Linked DNA regions of Drosophila melanogaster. Changing the gene in region 2 together with the main gene of any one other region gives a genetic interaction. Each region holds a gene or a part of one and is shown on either strand. Other genes may lie near its edges. The genes, in order: BicD, Khc, pk and para.

Region 1 (4,641 bases), on a different chromosome or scaffold from region 2:
TTGCAAGTGGAAATATGTCGCCCAGTCTCCACATAGCTTCCTTTAAACCTCACCCCTTTTTTTACACTTTTGTGGGGACACAGAAAATGCCCGCAGTGACGTGGTCGTCGACGTTGCTATTATTTTTTTTGTAATTTTTAAGCATCCATTATAAATGTGTGTGTGTGGGTGGAGGGTTCTTTTGGCCTCGCACTCATTTTTTTATTTGTGTTCTCGTAAAAGTTCAGTTGAGTTCAAATCCAACAAGCTGGAAACTATCAAGCTACGTTACAAGTGCACTGCCACCTGTCCAACAATTAATTGGCAGGCTTTTTGTTCGAAGCGCATAAAAATGCATGCGCATATACGTATTACGCACATACATATGCCCATTTGTAAAAAAGGTGTTACCGCCTGCATTGTGTGTGTGCGTGTGTGCAGGTGTTAACGCCCCCGTAGGATTTTAATTCCAGCTAACTTTTGTTAGCCCCATGGTTAATGGAACTTTAATTGCACTGTTTGCTAATTGGGGATACTTAAAGAATATGAACTATATGTTTACACCAAAATCAAATCTAAAAATAACAAATGATTTTGTTAATTTGCGTAATACAGTAAACATGTGTATAATTGTTCTGATCTTTATTTAACCAGTTGTATTTACTGTATGCTTTATTTACCCTTCTCCAACAAAATCGGCCTAAACCAACGTTTTCTTTTGGCAACAAGCAAAACAAACCAAAAAGGAAGCTTGTTGGGACACCAGTCGGAAAAAGCCAAAGCACGAAATGATAATAGACGGCTGAATGAGTATAGACTGCTTCCCCCATTTGATTTTTACCGAGGAAAGGACACAACTTTTCCCTGCCGTCTGGTAATGCAGTTCAGAGCCCGACAATCCACGGCCTGTGAAAATTCCAGAGGAAATGCCAGGCGATGACGAGGACTAATTGGAAAGGAAGGTTGGTGGTAAGAAGAAAAGGAGGAGTTGGATGTGGAAGTGGAGGTAGTTGGGCACTGAATAAAGGTGCAAAATGAAATGGCAAGAGTAGATTGGCCGTGCTGCAATCGGCCAACTGAAAGCTGAGATAATTTTTATAGGCCAAAACAATGTTTATGCCAAATTGAGCGTGATCAGTGGAGACAAGATAAAGATAAAAAAACAAAGAAAACATAATTTTGAAACAATGAAATAATTCTGCCAGCCAAATGCATTTTAAATGTTTAAGTGTTTTCAATCAAATCAAATGAGAATGCTATAGTGTTAACTTTAAAGATCGCTTTATGATTTGAACAACACATATCATCTAGGATCACTAGAATAATGGCATCGCATGGCTTTTTTTGGCCTTTATACTGACGGACAGAAGGACACTTGGCTAGCGATTATGATCTATGATAAACATACATAAATACTTTTTGCGGTCGTAAAGGCTTTCTTTCAGCTGTTAAGTTGTGTTTTTCATTTTTTAGTTTATTTATTGTTTTGTTTAGCGGACTGAATAGTATCTTCAATCGACCCAAGCGGTTCCACTGTATTTAAAGGTATACAAAACAACAGCACGTGACCATATGGCCAAGCCAGTTTCCGATTTCATGATCAGAGAGCGAATCCCAATTATTTCTGCTAGACCAGACCAGACGGACTTTGCAGAGCGATAGGTAGACTCGCCGAAAGAGAGTCAAACTGGCCAACAGGTGAGCGAGTTAGTTTGCCAGCAAGACAAATTGTTGGCCGTTGTGGAAAGGTTTTCTCTGTCTAAATATGTAGGTGTGTGTGCCCCAAGGTGTGTGTGAGTACGCGAGTGGGCCAGCTGGGCGATAAGCGGCGACTGCTTGGAAACAGATCGAAAAACATAGCAACAGAGGGGGCCAAATTGGCGGGTTACTATATAACCCATTGGAGCATTTAAAAACTGCGAAGAATTGTAGGCAAACTTACCTCCTGTGTGATGTCCAGTTCGTGGCGCGTGTTGTCGTAGAGCGTCTCCAGTTCCTCGCACTTCTGCTGCAGGGCGGACTTCTCCTCCAGCAGGGACAGTCCGTACTGGGCGGACTGGGCGCTGGCGGAGGACACCTGGTCCAGTTCGCGCGTGAGGCGCTCCACCTCCATTTGCAGGTCTTGCACGGATTGGTCCGCCGATGGGCCGTTGTTGCTGGCGCTGGACATGATGATGGATGGATGGTGTCCTTAGTGGTCGGGGGAGGGGGTGATGGTGTGGGTGTTGGTGGACGGTACAGCTGCCCGTGGGCAGGTGAATCTCCTCGTTGTTGCTGTTGATGCTTCTATCCTGGGCGGAATCTTTTCGATACAATTTTATGTTTTGGAGGGAAATCGATAGAAGTCGATTTGTATATGCCGCACTGTTTTGTTGTACTTCAGTGCTTTTTTTAAAATAATTTTTTTTATCGAAACCCCACACTCACACAACTCCACTCGCGGTGTGCTTTTTGCGTGTGTGTGCGTGCGTTTCACCTTTTCTCTTTTCCGTTTGAATGCGAACGTGTGTGTGTGTGTGTGGAATGGTATCGCTGCGGGTTTTCTCCTCTCTTCACTCACCGCGCTAAATTAGTAAATTAAACAGCGCTTAATGGCCAATTAACCGTGGGCTTTTAACGGCAAATAATTCTGCACTATATTTATATATGCCTGTAAGTCACACACACACACCAGCGCACTGCCGTACGCACACATAGGCGCGTATAAAACAGTTGGCAGCAGAAACTGAAAACGCAGCGCAGGAAGTTGTTTCAATTAACTCGAAAAGAAACAGCCGAAATGACATCACACAATTTCCCCTTTCCTTTCGTTCGCTGGCAAAGTGGGAGTTTTTCCCATTTTCCCTGCACTTTCCCCGTTCGCACGACTGCTCTTCGCGTATTCTCGTTATCCGTTGCACAATTGCGGCGTAGACGGCTAAATGCGGTATATATCAGGCCCAATCGCTGCGGTCGTCGATGGAGTCGAAATTTTCAAGCAAGTGCAAAAACAAAATTTTGTCCGCAATCACGTCGATTCTTGGCAATGTTTGTGACGGAATTTCAGTGCGACCGCAGGCAAAACTTTCGATAATGCGGAGAGGTGTGGAGAAAAGCGTTAAGAATGCGCTTAGCTCGGACCCAAACCTCGCGTTGGTAATAATAATCGCGTTTCCACTACTAAGGGTATGATTTTATTTAAAATGCTTGAAGCAACAGATTTATTTTTATATAAAAATATATAATATAAATATAATTTAAGCTGAAACCAAAGTTTGTAAACAGCGTCAGCATTTCCCATACTATCAGAATGTTCGATATATGTCTCAAAAGTTATCGGGCCATGTAGCACATCGATACTCGATTTTATATTCACATTTCGCCTAATCACATTTACTTTTCAACTTGTCTGTCGATCGAAATTAAGCGAACAGAAATCTAAAGCATAACCAAAATGCCGGACGCAGTGCAGCAGAGTTTCGTGCGTAGCTTCATTGACTACCTGAAGAAGCAGGGGGACGTGATGTCGCCGGACCAGACCGAAAGCATCGAGGTGGCGATCCAGTGCCTGCAGGCGGCCTTTGACTTGGGCGATGATGTGGAGGCAGCGCCGGCTGCGGCTGGTGAGGAGCAGGCCACCACACAGAGCAGCAGCACTGCGAGCGCACCGGACGATGATGCGGTGGCCAGCGGAAGTGCTGGTATCGGCGCCGCCGCCGCCGCCGTTCCCAATAACATTGACATGTTCGAGCTCTTCCAGTCGCTGTATACAGAACGCAATCCGGAATCCCTGGCCCTGGCCGAATCCATCAAGAACGAGGGCAACCGGCTGATGAAGGAGAACAAGTACAATGAAGCACTGCTGCAGTACAATCGTGCCATCGCCTTCGATCCCAAGAATCCGATCTTCTACTGCAATCGGGCTGCGGCCCACATCCGGCTGGGTGAGAACGAACGCGCCGTAACCGATTGCAAGTCCGCCCTGGTGTACAACAACAACTACAGCAAGGCGTACTGCCGCCTGGGCGTGGCGTACTCCAACATGGGCAATTTCGAGAAGGCGGAACAGGCCTACGCCAAGGCCATCGAGCTGGAACCGGACAACGAGGTGTACAAGAGCAACCTGGAAGCGGCCAGAAACGCCAGGAACCAGCCGCCCCAAACGGGGCGATTAAGGGAAGACCTAATCAACATGCTGTCCCAGCCAATGGTTAGGAATTTGTTCAACAACGCCGAGATCGACGTGGAGCAGCTGCTGTCGATGCTTCAGAATCCAATGATCATGAACACCATTCGCCAGCAGTTCGGCGGCGGCAATGCCCCGACCCTGCCCAATGACATGGTGCAAATGATCTATAACATGACCAGCCAATTGACTGGCTTTCCCAATTCGAACGCAAATCCTGGCAATGAACAGCAGCCGGGCAATCAGCCACCACCGAGCACCTAGAAGTGGATAGAATCCCGATCCCCGATCCCTGCCTGGATCGGCGGCACACAGATTAAGTTGTTAAGCTGAAACTATAAATGTATTTATAATGTTTAAATGGCTTCTATTACGCATACATACATACATACATATACATTTTTATCCAATGGAAATAAATAAATGACCGTGCAAATTGCCGCTGTTCCAATCGAATTTTCAATGAATATTAAATATATATATTATAATGCCTCATA
Region 2 (7,529 bases):
TATTGACGAGCCGCAGGCTCTGTTTGAATTCGTACATCCTAATCGAGCGGAAAATATTGACAATACTCGCTGCAAGACGGTTTCATTTAAAGTCAATAAAGATTGCGTGCTGCACGGAATCGGCGGATACTTTGATACCCATTTGTACAAGGACATCTGCCTAAGCATCAATCCTCTGACCCATACGCCTGGCATGTTCTCCTGGTTCCCCATGTTCTTCGCAACGGTACGTGTGATGTGATTAGTTAGCCTTTGATAACTGCTACATTAATATATATTTTTACTACTCAGCGTCCAAGAACTCTGAGGGAGGGACAGACTATATCCATCCAGTTTTGGCGATGCGTGGATGCAACCAAAGTGTGGTACGAATGGCAGGTGGTCAATTCTCCAGACGATTGGGAGCACCATAACACACGCGGGACAGGTTACAACATGCGATTGTAACAGCAGACGATGTAATAACAACCAATAGCCAAATAATCGGCATAATTTTTTTGAACTGCAATAAGAATCAAACTAAAGAGACCTTAATTTGTCTGCGACTTTTATTTAGGTTTATGTTTGAAAAGTTTATAAATACTCTTAACGTATATAGATGTCCTTACATATCTGTGGGTTTTATTATTTTCGGTTTGTAAAATTTAGTTAATTTCCGGTTTCCTTTCATTTATTTAATTAAATTATATGTATGTATATTTAAAGCGCTGCACATGATCGCGACACATCTCATCTAAGCGAAGGCAATTATCAGTTATGTTAAGTATGTATAACGTAATCCATTTAGTTTAGTTTAAAGCGGAGCTGAACTGGGCGGCGACAGGTGGTGATTGGATCTACGAGTTGACAGGATTAACCTGGGCCAGCGGGGATGGTCCTCCAACGGCGCCACCACCACGAATGGCGATTGCACCCTGGCCGGACCGGATCGGCTTGGCGATCTGTGCCTGTGGGCCACGTCTGCCCAGATGCTTCTGTCGCACCGCCTCCTTGATGCGGTCCACCTCGTATTGGTAGCGCTTGCGATCCCGCATTGCGCCCTCCTTCGCCTCCTTGAGCGCTGTCTCCAGAGCTTTCACCCGCTCCATGGTACAGCGTAGACGCTTCTCCAGCTTGGGCAGCTCGCACCGCAGATCGGCGTTGTCCCGCACCAATTGCTTGTGCACCTTGGTCAGCTGGTCGAGGTTGTTCTCCAAGAAGGAAATCTTCTGTTTCTGCGCGAGTGATCCACCGTCCTCCTCGCTCTCCTCGTTTACGACATTCTTTCGGATTCGTTGCTGTTGGCACAAGGGAAATACATTTTAAGATCTGTACGTAGCAATAATAGATAGGATTGCTTAAACTTTACCTGTAGATCCTGAACGAAAAGTTTTCGCAGGTTGTGTAGCGTCTGCAACTCCTTGGCCACCGTGTCCTCCAGGCCCTTGAGGTCTTTGCGCGCTTGCTCCCGACGCTCGTTGGTGAGGATGATGTTCTGAAGCTCGCTGGACTTCTCGGCATCCTCCTGGCGCACCTTCTCGTAGTCGGCCGTCATCTGTTGGTGCGCCAAGAGCAGCTTTTGATGGACATCCTTCATCTCGTCCATTTCGTGCTGCTTGGCGGCAATCTCATCCCGGAGCTCGGACACCTGCCGGGTGTGGGCTTCGCGTAGCTCGTCCATCTGAGAATCGAACATGGAGCGCAGCTCCTCAGCCCGCTGTTTCTCCTCGGCGTTAACGGCGGAAACGTGCTCGGCGGCCTTGAGCTTGGCGCATTCCTCGCGCAGCGAATCGATTTGTTCCTCGAGCGTGCGCTTCTTGTTCTCTGCCTCCCGCATCGACTCCTGCAGCGACTTCATGCGTGCCTCGTGCTGCGAAATGAGTAGCCGGTACTCGCCCAGATCTTTCTCATATTCGGAGATCTTCTTGTTGGAGTCAGCCTGCTGTGTTTCCATGTTGGAGCATCGCTGGGCAATGTTCTTGGCCTCCGTCTTCATCTTGCTGATAAACAAACGCGCCATGGTGAAATCTTCCTCCACCTTGCTGGCATCCGTGCCAGCCAGAGCACTCATCTTGAGGTCAATGCTGGACTCGCCGGGGGCAATGGCCTGGCCCACTTCGCCAAGGTCGCGCAGTAGGTTGGTTAGCATTTCCGTGATGCGCTTCTTCTGGTGTGAGGACATGTCCTTGAGCTGCTGTAGCTCTGTGGAGGCGGCGTTGAACACAGACTGCTTCTGCTGCAGCTCCTCGTTGAGGGCATCGATATCCTTGTTCTTGTTATCGATCTCCTGGGATTTCTGGTCGTAGTTTACAGCCAGCTCTTCGAGAGCTTGGAGCACCTCCTTAACCTCTTCCTTGGCGGACTCGTTCTCCTGTTGGATTCGCGCCATCTCCGACTGCAAAGTCTCATACTCACGCCGAGCGTTAGCGATGAGTTCCTCCTGCTCCATCACCTGCTCCTTGAGCTGCTCGGCGTACTGGCTCTGCTGATTGATCTCCTCATCCTTGTCGTCCAGCTGCTGGTAGAGACGCTCGCACTCTGTAGCCAGCCTGGCCTGCTCGTTCACGGCAACCGATGCGGACATATTGGCGAGAGCCGTTCGCTGGGCGGCCAAAGCGGCCTCGGCCGCCGCCGTCTGTGCTGCCTCCACTTCCAGGTTGGGCGTGCTTGCCTCCATGAGATCCTCCATGTTGATTTGCTCCTCCGCCTTAACAGTTTCACCCGCTCTCCAGCGCGCAAGCTCGATCTCCAGCTTCTCCACCTTACCCTTTAGTCGGGCGTTCTTTTCCTTCTCCTTTTCATAGCGTCGCTTCCATTCCTCGGCAGTAAGCTCCTCGTTAACGCAGACCACGTTCTTCACTGTCTTGGCTCTACGACCGAAGTCCAGCGTTGACTTCGTTTCAGATTCGTTGAAACTGGCTGGAGAGCAGCAGATGACGATGGTTGTGCGTGCATTGCCTCCCAGCGACTCCTGCAGGATGCGCGTGAGCTTGGAATCACGGTAGGGGATGTGCGTTTTGTTTCCGTCCGCCAGGGCTGAAATTACGTTGCCCAAGGCCGACAGCGACTTGTTGATGTTCTTGGCTTCATCAAGAACGGTTCCCTCCGCTCCAGTCTTGGAAACCTTCTCGGAACCGGCCAAATCCACCAGGTAGAGTTTGCCGGATAGTTTCTTCTGGTTCTCCAGGTTCTCCTGCTTCACATTGATAAGGAATACTGAGTGGGATCGCGAAGAATGCTCGTTCATGTCTGAAAGGATGGATAAATCGTTATAAAAGATGATCTGGTACATGAAACACTACAATCGAGGTCAGAGCGAATGCTGGAATAACTCCTAGACTTGTTTGGCTGAAATGGTCCTGACCATCGATTTTAATTAGTACTCACTTGTCACAGCGATGTGACGATTGGATTTGCCCTCCTCGATCACCTCGAAAACATCCTCCGGCGACGAGACGAACCGTTCCGTAGCGCCCTTGACGTACGGCACCCGGTTCTTGTCCTCGTGCACGCTTAAGTTCACCTTGGAGACGTCCAACAGATCTCGAATCTTGTCCATGTAGATCTCGTAGTAGGAGACCTTGATGTGAAACTCCAGGTTCACCTCCATCGCGTAGATGTGATTGAAAATGTCGTTGACGATACGTGGTATGATACCCTGTTTTACGGAGTCCCCGATCACGCCCTCCATCGTATGCGTTTTTCCGGAGGACGTCTGACCATATGCGAATATCGTTCCATTGTACCCGGCCAGGACATCCGTAACAATGGACTTGGCCGCCTCATTGTAGACCTTCTCCTGGGATGCATTCGGTTTGAAGACCTTGTCGAACAAATACACCTTGCCCTGCAGACGATGGAGATTAGGTTTAGTATAATGTGTTTTTTTCTTTAGTACATAGCAGCCAGTTACATTAGCTATAAACTGGTGTCAGTTGCGGTGAAATTTCTTTCGGAGATTCATTCCCCCTGTCCCCGATCTTTTCCCGCTGACTGCCTTTGAATCATTTTCAACGCATGGCCGCGAAGCAGATTGTAATTATGAGCATTAAGACATGTTAAGTGGAAGGGGGAAGAATAGTGAATAACGAGCGCCAGAAGAAAGCCACAGCGAAAGAGAGATAGATAGAGTTAGTCAGAGAGAGAGAGAGAGCGTAATGATAATGTCTGTGTATGGAGGCACTATATTAGTGCTGACTTTTTTGGAACTGGTTCAATTGCCCAAGCTTTACCAGGAATATGACGGATTACACCTGGCGGAAAAGCGGGAAATTCAGCATAGCATACAAAGCAATAACATTTCATGTGGCATAAAAGCAATACAGCCAAATTCCATTGCCTCCAAAGTTGCTCTTATTGTTTTTCCTCATATTTTTTTTTTTTGTATGCTTTGCGTGCATGACTCATTGGCGCGCGGACAGGGGAGTGGAAGTGGAGCGGGGGCTACCGTCAATGTGTGTATGTGTTTGTGTGGAAATGTAAGTGAGGTAAGCACTGAAGGCGGACTGGAAACTAGAAAAGCGCATATTTATGCGGCCCAAAAGAATGGAACACCCGCTTTTAGCAGAAAACCGTCTAGTGGGTGGCATTTCTCCACCCCGTCATCGCGCTTCTTTCGATTTACACACCCTATTCTTTTTCGACTGGGGGAAAATCAATTTGGTGCAAAGCAATATTGATTTGGAGTAAAGTTAGTTGGTTTCATCATATACATGTATATGTACATCTAGTTTTGTTTTGTGCAATTATTCATGGGTAACTTTAGTGCCTCTCTCTTTTTATCGCCTGGCATTCCAATTGGTCGGCAATTTTGGGGAAGGGTAATGTACGCTAATAGGCATGACGTCATGGCGCGGCACGCCGAGATTAATGCATAACACATAGGGAAAAGGCACTGGGGGCTGGCGAAAACTATAGATCTGGAACACATACCGCTATGGATATGCAGTTCTCCTCCACATTGTTGGGGAACTTGACCACGAACTTGGAGCCGGCCTTCTCTTCGCTGTCGTTCAGCGGTCGGAATCGGCAGACCACTTTGATGCTGTCCTCGGCGGGAATCTCTCGTTCCGCGGACATTGCTTACAGGGCGGAGATAGATCTTTCTGGCGGAGATTGTTGGATTTCTGCAGCTCTGGGCGCGACCTCTGCGCATGCAGCTCACTGTTTACGTGGATAATCAACGGACTCGCTATCGTCCGCACTATCTGCTGTTCACTGTTTGCTTGTGCCGATTCTGGTACTCCGTTTGGCCCCTTTTGTTCCGATTCTCTGCTGATTCCGACACACTCGCGAAAATTGGGTTGGGGGCGGCTCAAATAAGAAGATGCAGTGAAAATTTTGTGGTTATACCAGACACAAAAGTTGAATTGGTCAAATGGCGATAACGCTGGAGCGCAACCTCGATTCTGACTGCTCCGCGTCGTACTGTTTTGCACTTTTTTGCCCGGAATGATTAAGTGCAGCCGCTAAATGCACTCGCATACGTTAGTAGGTCGGAATTAGTTGCACTCAAAACTATTTTATTATTCGACTATTATTTTCGCTACTGTGCGCCAGTGTGACCGTTCTGCTCGCCCAGCTAAATACCAATCGCCATTTAATTGCACAATAATACTGAATTAATACTCTCAAAAGCTTCGAATGTATGAGACACCCTGCAGATCTTGAAAATGGTAACGGCATATAATATTCCTAATTAAGCGATACCGTTTAAAAATCATTCAAAAATTATTCAAAATTGCTTGTTTATTGTCACTTTTGTTTTTCCTGTCCAAATATTTCGGCTTGGGCGCAATATATAGCTCCAAACTAGGCATACAACCTCTGTAGGTTCAATAGGAAAACGCTATGGAAGATTGATCACCGAGTCGCTGGAAAGGATTGTGGAGAACAGAGGGGCACGATGGCACAGAAGGATATTACGTCGTATTTGAATTTGGAGCGATTGAAGAAGACGCAGAAGCTCATCCGACTTTATCGATCGAACGAGTGCCTCTGGAATCCAAAGTCACCTGGTTTCCATAGTGGTTCTGCGAAGGATGACGCCTGGCGACAAATCACCCGGCGGATGAACTGCGGCCTGACTCCTGACCAGGTGGAGCTGCAGGTGCTCGGTCTGCGGCACTACTACTCCAAGGAATTGGCCGCCATCCGAAATAGTCAAATTGAGGGTTATAGTTATAGTCCAAGGTACTCCTACTTCGAGGACTTGCATTTCTTGGGAAACTTGGAGGTGAGTGGATGGTTTTTGCACTGGATATTGAATAGTGAACCATTATCTTCTATTTTTACACAGGAGGAAGCTAACTGTCCCATTAAGGAAGGACATTTCCCACCCAATTTTTCGGAGGACACATTCATATCGCCTCTAGCTTTTTTAAGTCCCAGCTGCAGTGAAACCAGGTGCGGGTACACCTTCTACAAGATGATTCTAGAGCCTGAGCCACCAAATGAAGAGTTCTTAGGTGTGCACCATGAAAGATCTACGTCCGGCAATGATCGGTGGTATCCCACTGCGTACTGTGTTCGTTGCAAGCCAGAGGAAGACGAAGATCCTTGTGAAGCGTGCGAGCTAAGAGGTCAAAGCAGTCGTCCTCAATTCGGAAGTAAGAGCTCTTTAGAAGGCGGAGAAAGCGGCAGTACCAACCCAAGGATGTCTAATCGGTATCAGGAACAGGATCAGTCAAATAAATTCCAAAAAAGTGATAGCAAACAGTATCGAACTGGGAAACCATGTTCATGTCCCACGAAAGACAACCCAGAAAAGCGTTCATCGCAAACGCAACAAAATGATGTGTACGTCGGTGCTGACAACTGGGATGGTTACGAGTCCGTCGGCAATGGTATACGCAGCGATAGATGGCCAGGTCCCAGACTATGTTCCCAAAAACGCGGAGAGTGGAAGCCCAGGTTCCGTAAAGTAATCGGCGAGGACAATCAGAAGTCGTGCTGCGACAGCTGGAAGCGAAATAATAATGCCGTGTGCGGGAGACTTCTAGACCAGTTGGCCAAGCAACAGAATCAACCCGGCAGTTACTCCGACGATGGAGACTCCGTTCGGAATCAAAGCTGCGGCTGTACGAAGAATCGCCGCCAGTCAGGCGAGGATCAGTTAAACGTAATGCTGTTGCAGAAGAAGTATAGGGATCGGACTTTGTCGAACAATGCAAACAATCCTACCACCGATCGACACAGCAACACTCAACCGATTTCGGATCAAACTTACTATAACACCAGCCATCCAGTTCCGAACTGTTGTTACTGCACTTATAACCAAGTAAATCAAGACGTTCAGCGCTGCAATATCCATGGATGCCAGTGCATTTACTGCAATCAAACTGTGCCTCCCGCCCACGGTAACTACTACCAACCGCATCATGTCGATCAGAATGCCAGGAACTATTCTCGATCAGCTCCACCAGACGCTCCATATGATGAAACGGTTTACCTGAATGACTACGGACGATCTATGTATCCGGAGCCACAGCATGTGTATTGCATCAATGCGGAGGATGCGCCCACAGATGTGTGGGTACAGGCACAGTCCC
Region 3 (4,755 bases), 9.1 Mb from region 2:
GCAGCACTCAACCTTTTGTGTTTAGTGTTGCGCCCACTTGAGCCGCATTTGCCCGGAAAGTCTCTTTTGAACGGGTTAAAATTGTGTTATCAAGCTATCAAGAACCCCATTCAGCGCCACAGAATCTGACATATATATGGACTTATCACTGCCTACCTAAGTGGTTTAGAAAGCCGCAGACGTGACAACTCATTCAGCGCGGCTGCAACTGTAAAATTTCATAATTTATTATGCAGTCGGATGGGCCTATGCAGCTGGCACATTTTCCGATATTACCATACGAATCCCGCCAGGGAGACAATATAAACAATAAGAGATATGCACCCAATAGCGGTCTTCAGAGCTGGATTCTTTCCGGTTCTGTTTGGCAGTCAGGCGGGATGTCTCACTCGCTAATGGATTAACTTGTTTGTCTATTTTACTGCCAAACTATAATTTGAGCCTCTGAAAGCTACGGCTGGGCCAGGCCGTAATAATTACACAGTTTAGGTCCGCCAGCCAAACTAGTTTGGGCGAAAGCCCGGCGATCTAATGAGCCATTGTCTGGGCCTCATATTTCATTGGGTCGGATAATAATCTCACGCCTGGCTTATCGGTGGAGCGGGGTGCTAAACGTCTTTGTCGCCATCGAAATTGATTGCTCTAAGCAGAAATGGAATTCCTTTTCAAGTTTTTATTGCGCTCACATAAAACCCGATCGCATCTCGAAAATCGTTCGATGTCGTGGAAAACAAAGTGAAATGAAAATCGAGTCGGCACGCCGCCAAAATGGACACCTTGTGGGCGGTAGGCAGTTGGCCGGTCTAATCTGCAGCGCACTCGTGTTAAATGTCAAATCCAATCAAATGGCGTTGAGTGAGAGGAAACGAGCGGGCCGGGCCAGCTAACGTTGCTCCATTTTCCGGGGAACCCGTTCTTATCTGCCTGGAAGATGGTTGGGAAACTAACGCGAGCTGACAGGATGACAGTTCAAATTGGCGTTTGCATACGTCCATCGACGGATCCAATACTTATTTACGACTTCCCGCCTCAAAAGCTCATAACGGGGCCTAATTAATTTACAGACCGAAATTCGCTCGCCAATGATGAATAGCTGGGAAATGGTTCGTTAATTGCGTCTTTAAATGGACGTGAGACATGTGTAATATGCAAATGGTGGGGCACAGACACAGAGATTGACATAACGAAGTTAGGTTGTTGACCCACTCGGACCTTTTGTTATGCTAACAAAACCAAGTCGATAACTGTAAAGTGGCCAATCTATTCCGAGGCGGGAATCTTTAGCTGCTTTGTATCTCAGATAGCCCGACAGCCAGATAGCCAGAGCATCTTGCCTTCATGCTCCGGCAATTGTGGCTAGATGGCTGCGTGCGGAGTAAACTAACCAACAAATTAACACGCCAGTTAGTTAGTTAGTTAGTCAGTTCGAGGCGTCGATTGGGGTTAAGCAGCCGTGGCAGTTGGCCCATAGTGAGGGAGAAAGTTGATGCAGCAGCTCCATAATTGAGCCAACTAGTTGCCGCAACTCGGCCATAAACAACAGTTTTATTTCGAACCGCCGCCGGCCGACGCTACATAATTATGAAGAATTTCTCAATAAAGCCCGGAATCGAAGCCAGCCGCAGTGCGAAAATTGATTTAGTTGGCCGGGCCATAAAAGACCAGAGCGAATTGCAGTGTTCCGTTGGTGCTTTATGGCCACCGTGCCTGGGCTATGTACATACACCGCGGAGGAATGCGCCGCAGAACCACTATCGGTGCGCTTTAAATTCAAATTGGCATGTCAGGCAATTAGAAATCGGAGATAAATTTCAACCCCGGCCCACACACACGTTCAGCTCGAGTCAAATGTCTCTTGTCAATGAGGTGTTCGAAGCCCACACAGACACACACACACACACACGGGACTGAAAAGCAATTGCTAACAAGCCATTGTTGACACATTGCCGCCATGTAAGCCCGTTTCATTACACTTCTGTGGGTGGCAGCTGCTTTGGATCACCAGATCCGTAGATCCTCAGCTTTATCTGCACTATGGCCCACCAAAAACTAATTGGATCAAGCGGCGGAGAAAGCCAAGAGCTGTGCGCGGTAATCAAAATATTTCGGGCTTTGGCAAGTGTTTTTATGGCTAGACGAGTCATGTTTTATGTGCTGGAGCGGGTCGTAAGCCTATTTGGTTATGACTTCATTCCGCGAGGCTGCAGCAAGTTGGTGAAAGTGCGCTGCGAATGGCGATTAAAACTTAACGCATCTAAATAAATCAAGCTGAGCACTTCAGTTGACGTGTAATGTGCATAAGCTTATGAAAGCCATTACACCGACGGGCCGGGCATATCCAAAGTTCGTTGCTCAAGTCTTTCGTTTCCTAAGTATCAGCCACACACCTTGGCTAACAGATTCTCGACCTTCGATAATCCCATAAAAATATTGCGCTAAAGCAGCCGGCCCGACGTCTGTGCCTCGCATATCAATCGGCCTCGAATTTCATTTGATTTTTAATGTAATTTTATTGTCAGTTGTATCTGTATCTGAATACGAATACGAAAGCGTTTGTATCAGTGAAGGAGTTTGAGTTTGAGTATCAGCTGGTATCCGTGTTGTACGAAACGAGCTGCGTTGACAATCATCAGGCGAAAACATGGCTTAAATCACATCTCACTTGCCCGTGTGGCTTATCCCGAGCATTTAGCGTAAATGAGCGCTTAGGCCAATTGTTGCATTAATTCACTTGGCCCCAGGAAGGAACACTATGCCAGACTTATTTAGCTGGCCCTGATAGGGACCACTCTGGATTATGGATTGCACTTCACTTTTGTCAATTTTTTGCAATTGTTGCGAATTCAGTTAGCAGCTTTTTGTGCACTTTGCTCCGATCTGGCTGAAAAACGGTAAACGACAGATCTGGCGCAAGATAACGTGGACCGAAATCGACATAGCCGAAGAGCGCGCGATCGATCGATCGTTCAGACGGATTACGCGACGACTAACCCGCACCTGTTGCCAGATGTAAACCGCTCGCAACTGACGACGCTTTCAGACTGATCGAACCTGCCCAGATGTGGATTTCTGTGTGGTTTGATCTTAGGCTGTGGATCGTGTTCGATGAAGGTAAGGTGTTCGTGGGACTTCTTGCTTTAGTGTTCTTTCAACGAGCTGCCAAAATACTATCACTATTAAGTGTAGTTAACGATAACAAGATAGTTTATAGTAATTTGTTTCCGATTTCGTCGTTAAAATTGTCTAAATTTGTATAAAACGCCAAATATCATAAGCTGCAACTCAATCCGCAACTGCAACATCGAACTTGTTTGATAGCTCCATTGCTTACACTACCATCCCAAAAGTATGCTTCGTTACTACGCATTTTTAGAATCATATACATGTAGATTTGCGCGTAAGATTCTCTGTAGAATCTGAGTTCCTAATATTTCATCGTTTAAGTCTAATGTAGAAATATAAGTTTCTTGTTTCTTTTTGCAAACAATATAGGGTTCTAAAATTCTAGATGCTGAAGTATCTGAAGAACTTTCCAGGACTCTATGGGACAATAATAGGGCTTTTACATAGAATGCCTCGTGTTCATAAATAGTGAATTGCGTAATCTACCTTCCCATGGATGTAAGAATTTAGTAGTTATATATCCAGCCGTATTCTGATGGCAGCGCTGTTCAAATCTTAAATAATTAACTTTAAGTAATAAACACCTTGTAAATTAATGGTGTTTAAAGAGCAATAAACTTAAAATAATTAAGTAAGAAAAAACTGCATGTAGTAATGAAGTGCATCAGAAGAGCTGATTACCACACATACACGAAAGAATACGTACTAAAATGATTTTCATACTTTAACAGTTAAAACACTAGAAGGGTACCCAAAAGAGTTTTTAATATGGTAACCGTGAAATACGATTTGGCCAAACCCTTTTGAGTAATTAAGAGTGGTTTTTATAAATTAGATGTGACCAAAAATATAACATAAGCTACATTTAAAGCCGGTACTTAGTGATGAAATATCTCTTGTCAGAAAGCAAAAATATTTCCCAACCACATTGCAAAGTGGGCTTGAAGTGACAAAAAGTGCGATGTCAACCGTGTTGGCCATCTGACGAGTTCAAGGTTGATTTCCAGCTGACCATGTTAGTTGGTCACCATCATTGCCTGCCGACTGGAGATCATTAGGCCGCACATTAGTGCCATCTCAGCGCAGGCTAATTAGAAGCTGAGTGTGAACGGAAACACTACGTTTCTGCGTGCCGCTTTTTGTTGCACAACCTGGGATGCCTCAATGATGCATGATTTATGGCATTTTGAATTGTGGATCGGCGGCGTGTGAAGCTCCCGAGGGGCCGGGCATCAAAGACCTGTCCAGCAATACGTATACTTATGTAGGTTTCTGCGCTTGGCTTACCTGAAACGAAAATGTAAATCGAAGGCAATTAGCTGAGTCTAATAAGGGCCAAAATAAGATTGAGTATAAGAATGGGGATTATAGTTGGATAGCGTTGACGCTATCAAAAAATCAATTTGGCTAATTGCAAGCATAACGGCCTCATTCGTTGCCACATTTCATCAAACACCATTTGGGAAGGAAACGTCAAAAGAGCAGCCCCAAGGTGCAGACAACTTTTAGACACGCCAAGTCTGGGAGGGAATGGCTGGAGTTTAGGGGGCTGGACGTGGTTCGTTTATTAGCGGAATCGAATGGGCCCCAAAGTGTCATCAAATCAATGCAAGCTAGCTCAAATCGAAGTCG
Region 4 (4,699 bases), on a different chromosome or scaffold from region 2:
TCCCACGATTCTGGCTTGTGGTCATTGGGGTCATCTATCTCCGCCGGTGGGTTGACTGGTGGCACAAAGTCGGTCAGCAGGGAACCCTCTTTGATGATCTTGTGGTCTAAGCGAATCTCAAAGCTGTTATCGGGACGGACCACCAGCTGGTAGAGATGGGGTAGCTTGTCCGTGAATGGCACTCCCAAACGGGCATTTGGCTTTTTGCAGTGCTTTTCGGTGATGTTGCCATTTAATGGATTGACGTGCCGGAATATAAAGTGCATTTTCAAATTGTTGCCGCACTTGTCCGGACCAAACATGATGGTATAGGGTGTCTTGTCATTGAAGCGATTTAGTTGCTCCGTGCCTTTTCCGGCGGACAAAAGCTTCAGATACGAGCCGCCACAGTCCTGACCCTCCTGCAACGTAAGCTCGTACTGCACCACCAGCGGCTTGTTCGACTTGAAATCGAACGGCTGGCGAAAGGGGGCGGCTATGGCCGCATGCTTGGCCTTCGACTTGAGCACCAGACCCAGATCGTTTGCCCAAAAGATGCGTTGCGGAGACTCCCAGTTCCAGATGCCATCGTATTTGGCTATCTCATCGGCGATGTCGTTCTTCTTGGCCTGCGACAGTACCCATCTCTTTCGGGATGCCTCCACGTCGTCGAAGTGATCCGCAAAGTAAAACTTTTCGGCATCGATCACCGGACTCTTGTAGGCAAACTTCTCATCGCCATAGATGGCGCCGGGCTCTATCTGCACATCCTCCACAGAGTTTTCCGACTCCGGGGCCAAATAGCCGGTTTTGGCCGCACTCAGCAGCAACAAAATGGCGAAGAGCATTTTCCAAGCCATTTTCACACACTTTTCGCTTGCTCGCTTACTCAGAGTTGGAATAGATAAGGATTGACTGAATTGAGCCTTGCGTTTTTTTAATATAGCGACGTTCGAAGAAATTAACGATTTTTAACGATTTTTTGTGAAAAGTGGTTGACTTGACTGAACTGAGCCTTAATGCGTATGACTTTATTGACGCCGCTTGCTTGTTTGTATAAATTTTGGATTTGACTTACATAGATAGCTTAGTAATAGGTAATACGATTATGATTTTTAAAATGTAGATAATATTATAAGCACTTCATTTATTTGAAACGGTCTAACACTACCTTCTACCGCTACTACAGAAAATGTGAGAATTGAATCTAGATTCGGTTACGGATGTTCCTGCGGTCTTCGGATATTGGGCTTACATAAGCAGCCTCCGCTAAGGTCAAAGCACTCTTTTTCCATTTGCCAATCTGGCTGCGTGTGTGTATGTGTGAGCGCGCCAGTGTGTGTGCGTGTGTGTGTGTGTGTGTGTATCGAGCATAAAAGTAGGTCAGTTCGATATTTCGCCACACTCACACACACACGGAGGCATGAAGCATAGGGTAGCGTTCTCACACACACACAGAGTGGCAGTGGATGTGCCAATATGAGCATATATTTATGTGTGTCTGTTTCCATTCATGACACTCGCAAAATTCTGTTTGCCGAATTAATTTTTGGCCATTCGCTGGGTCGATGAGTCATGCGAAAAACCGCAAACAAGAATTGAAATAAAAAACAACCCGAGCCGGAATTTGTGTCAATATGCAAATGACACATGACAAACACATGAGCGAAACGCAAAACGTTTTCCTTAGCCAACCCAAGGTATCGATTTGGCAATATAACACAGAATATCTGCTACCCTATTAATTGTTGAACAAAATTCGATGGCAAGGAAAGGACTAAAAAACTAAAAAAAAAAACAAACAGAAACAGCAAAAAACTGAACGAAGTTAGCATGTTGTTAGTCAATGAATTTTGCATGGGAGAGCGCAATGGGCTGGCGAGAGAGCGAGGACTCTCACTCTCCTCCTGCCTGCGCCGAGAGAGCCAGTGCCCTCTCTCTTGCGCTCTCACTTCTCTGTGTGATGCCGCCAACAAACACGGACTACAACAATACATTTTTGGGTTCCCTTCTCTCTTAACGAACCTCCTTTCAATGTGTGCGTGAGCAAAGGAATTCCGTTAGAAACACCCCCCCCCCTCAACCTTCATCATTCATTTTTTTCTGCTCTGCTCTGCTCTGTTCTTTTTTTTTTTTTGTGGCAGCTGAAAGTTTGCCCTCCAAAAGCCAGCAAAAGGTTGTAGCCCAAAAGCAAAGGGGCGTGCCAGTGGGCGGGACAAAAAGGGGCGCAGATACCCCATTGATATGGTCTTGAGGTCGGGCCTGGTTAACTGGGATTTTCACCAAGGAGGCATGACATAATCGAGCCAAGTTCATCAAGTCGCCCACTGCTCCGTTCACACTTTTCTAGCTATTCAAATATTGAAATACATACGAAAGACACAATTGCTTTCTAAATTCTCATTTGACGTGCAGCGTAAATTGCCCTTTTTGGTATTCTATATTAAAATTGCAATCGATGGGAATACCAAATGTGGGTTTCTTAAAAACTTTCAATGAAAGTTGAACCATTGACCCAGTAAAATGTAGTTCTCTTTGACCAAAATGAAAAGTAAATTAATGACTTTGTTTTGAGCTGAGAAGTAAGTTAAGTAAGAGCTGAGAATTTCTAATATAACACATTGTTAGCCTGTTTGCTCTAACATAGATAACATAATTATTTTCAATACATTTCCACTATGTGTTAATTGTAAGAATTCATCATAAAAGTGGTTCTTTTAGACTCGAAAGATCGTTTAGTCTTAAGAATAAATCATTCAAGGTATCGGAAATAGTTGAAACTCAACAAATAAAAAATTTCACGATTTTTTTTCCTCTGTTTAGGGTTAAATATCATTAGCATAATTAAAAGTGCAATGAATGTGATAATAAAATACATATTAAATGGATTTTTTCGATTGCCTTCGATTACCTACCGTTAATCGATGTCTATCGATGTTGTGCCTGGCTGCTCGCTCTATCCGCTGATGTTGTTGTTGCTGTAGTTGCTATTGTGGTTGTTGTTGCTGTTGCTGCTTTTGTTGTGAGCGTGCTTGCTTGTATTGTTGTTGTTGCTGCTGCTGCTAAGAATTGTTGCTGCTGTTAACTACTGTTGTTGTTGTTGTGGTTGTGGCTCTGGCTGCTGCTGCTGTTGTTGTAGTTGTTGTTGTTGTGGCTCACACATTTACAGGCACCAACACACACGCGACGCACTCACACACATATGCATACATATACATAGATATATATATATATAAATATATATATATGTATATTTTATATATATATATATATTACGGAGACGAAGACGAATAAAGTTGAAGCGGTAGAACAAGTAGAAGATGAATTTGTTGTTTGTTTTGTTTTTTGGTTTTTTTGTTTGGTTTTTTTTTTATATTTGTATTTTTGTTTGCTTTTATTTGTTTTGGTTTTGTTTGTTAAATCTGCATTATCATTGGGTATTTGAATTGGTTTTTTTATTTAATTTTTTTGCGTGCTTAACAACAACCAAGACGTGTTGCCAGAAATTTTCATCAAACGTTGCGTTTTGTTCCCAGAGCTGTTTCAATTTATTATTTATAGTTAATGTTAATATTATTTGTTGTATTATTTCTACTAGTATCTGGCTACCTGGCTGGGATATTTAAATGAGTTTGCCTCGGCTTGGTTTCTCAACTGTTGCTATGATTATAATTGGTTTTCCGTATTATGACTAATAGTATTATTATTATTATTTGCAGATTTTATTTCGGTTTTAGTTTCAATTTCGTCAGCGTCGCCTGCGGAAAAGCGAACAAGTTGTTGAAACCCAGCTTAAATTGGAAAATTTGATGGGAAAACTCATTCACAAAAGGTGACAGAAATGTAAAAAAAATTGAAAAAAATATTATCGGAAGAAAAAATTTCGAATAATTTGTATGGCCCACTAAAAGCACCCCCTAGTATTGTTTGAATGGCTTGAAATTATTTTTTTTAATATTTATTTCTTTTTATATGTTAGATTTTCTGCTGTCCTTGTGCCAATTATGTGAATTATGTCGTTAGTTTATTTGATTCCTTCTACTAAACTTGTTATATTTCTTCAATAGATATTTAAAATGGGCTTGTAAATTGTATTCACACACTTGATGGCTTTCACTTAGACACACGAAAAAAAAAACGTAAAATGAGCACTCAATTGGCAGGATAATGTCTCACTGGATTGGATGCACTGTAAAAAAAAATGTCGAGGCAGCGAGTCGCGGCTTGTTTGTGTTTATGCAATTTTCGCGCGCACGTGAAACGCAGAGCAGTATTGAAAAAGGACACAAGGATGCGGAAAAAAGTCGAGCACTGAGCACTGAAAAAGTTCCTCCTCTCTGGGTAACTCCGTTTTCGGGCGAACCAGGCAGTTGTCCGCCGTTTCGCCGTGACTTCCTTTTATCCGAATTTGCCGCGAAAAGGAGCAGAAGCAGTTCGCGCGTGTGTGTGTTTGTGTGTGTGTGAGAAGTCCTTTTCGCCCTAAAGCATTTGCCATATATAACCACCCAAGTCGTTGTCAACACAGGTTTTGTTGTGCTACTTTGCCACCCTGTTTTTCGCTGCTTATCCTTTCGCCCTTCGCTATTCTCCGCCATTTGCCACATACTATTCGCCATCGCCGACTCTCATTTTTTTATTTGTCTTTGGTCACTTGTTCTATTTTTAGGTCATCAAGCTGATATTCCACGGCTCTGCTCTGCCCGAAAATTGCAACAGTGGG

What was found.
Region 1: of Khc (region 2) and BicD, changing one enhances a phenotype caused by changing the other (phenotypic enhancement), as found in Drosophila melanogaster (one study listed by BioGRID).
Region 3: of Khc (region 2) and pk, changing one suppresses a phenotype caused by changing the other (phenotypic suppression), as found in Drosophila melanogaster (one study listed by BioGRID).
Region 4: of Khc (region 2) and para, changing one enhances a phenotype caused by changing the other (phenotypic enhancement), as found in Drosophila melanogaster (one study listed by BioGRID).

Annotation. Positions count from the first base shown.
Region 1 is NT_033779.5:17,470,176-17,474,816, forward strand, and holds the start of BicD (bicaudal D), read right to left. Parts: upstream 3,041-4,641; 5' UTR 2,150-3,040; coding exon 1,922-2,149; intron 1,678-1,921; exon of another isoform or gene 1,428-1,677; intron 1-1,427. Other genes in the region: Sgt (small glutamine-rich tetratricopeptide containing protein), read left to right, coding at 3,413-4,408. UniProt on the Drosophila melanogaster protein: This protein is essential for differentiation. It may play a role in localizing of Nanos (a maternal determinant) activity in oocytes. Functions redundantly with BicDR.
Region 2 is NT_033778.4:16,266,428-16,273,956, forward strand, and holds Khc (kinesin heavy chain), read right to left. Parts: upstream 5,545-7,529; 5' UTR 5,059-5,544; coding exon 4,912-5,058; intron 3,827-4,911; coding exon 3,367-3,826; intron 3,229-3,366; coding exon 1,349-3,228; intron 1,278-1,348; coding exon 837-1,277; 3' UTR 533-836; downstream 1-532. Other genes in the region: csul (capsuleen), read left to right, coding at 1-226, 292-447; CG33017 (uncharacterized protein), read left to right, coding at 5,885-6,214, 6,278-7,529. UniProt on the Drosophila melanogaster protein: Kinesin is a microtubule-associated force-producing protein that may play a role in organelle transport. Milt and Miro form an essential protein complex that links Khc to mitochondria for light chain-independent, anterograde transport of mitochondria.
Region 3 is NT_033778.4:7,185,521-7,190,275, reverse strand, and holds the start of pk (prickle), read right to left. Parts: upstream 3,044-4,755; 5' UTR 2,663-3,043; intron 1-2,662. UniProt on the Drosophila melanogaster protein: Acts in a planar cell polarity (PCP) complex; polarization along the apical/basal axis of epithelial cells. Correct expression of the alternative isoforms is required for PCP signaling in imaginal disks.
Region 4 is NC_004354.4:16,524,383-16,529,081, forward strand, and holds the start of para (paralytic), read right to left. Parts: upstream 3,033-4,699; 5' UTR 2,895-3,032; intron 1,034-2,894; exon of another isoform or gene 840-1,033; coding exon of another isoform or gene 1-839. Other genes in the region: Cnx14D (calnexin 14D), read right to left, coding at 1-839. UniProt on the Drosophila melanogaster protein: Mediates the voltage-dependent sodium ion permeability of excitable membranes.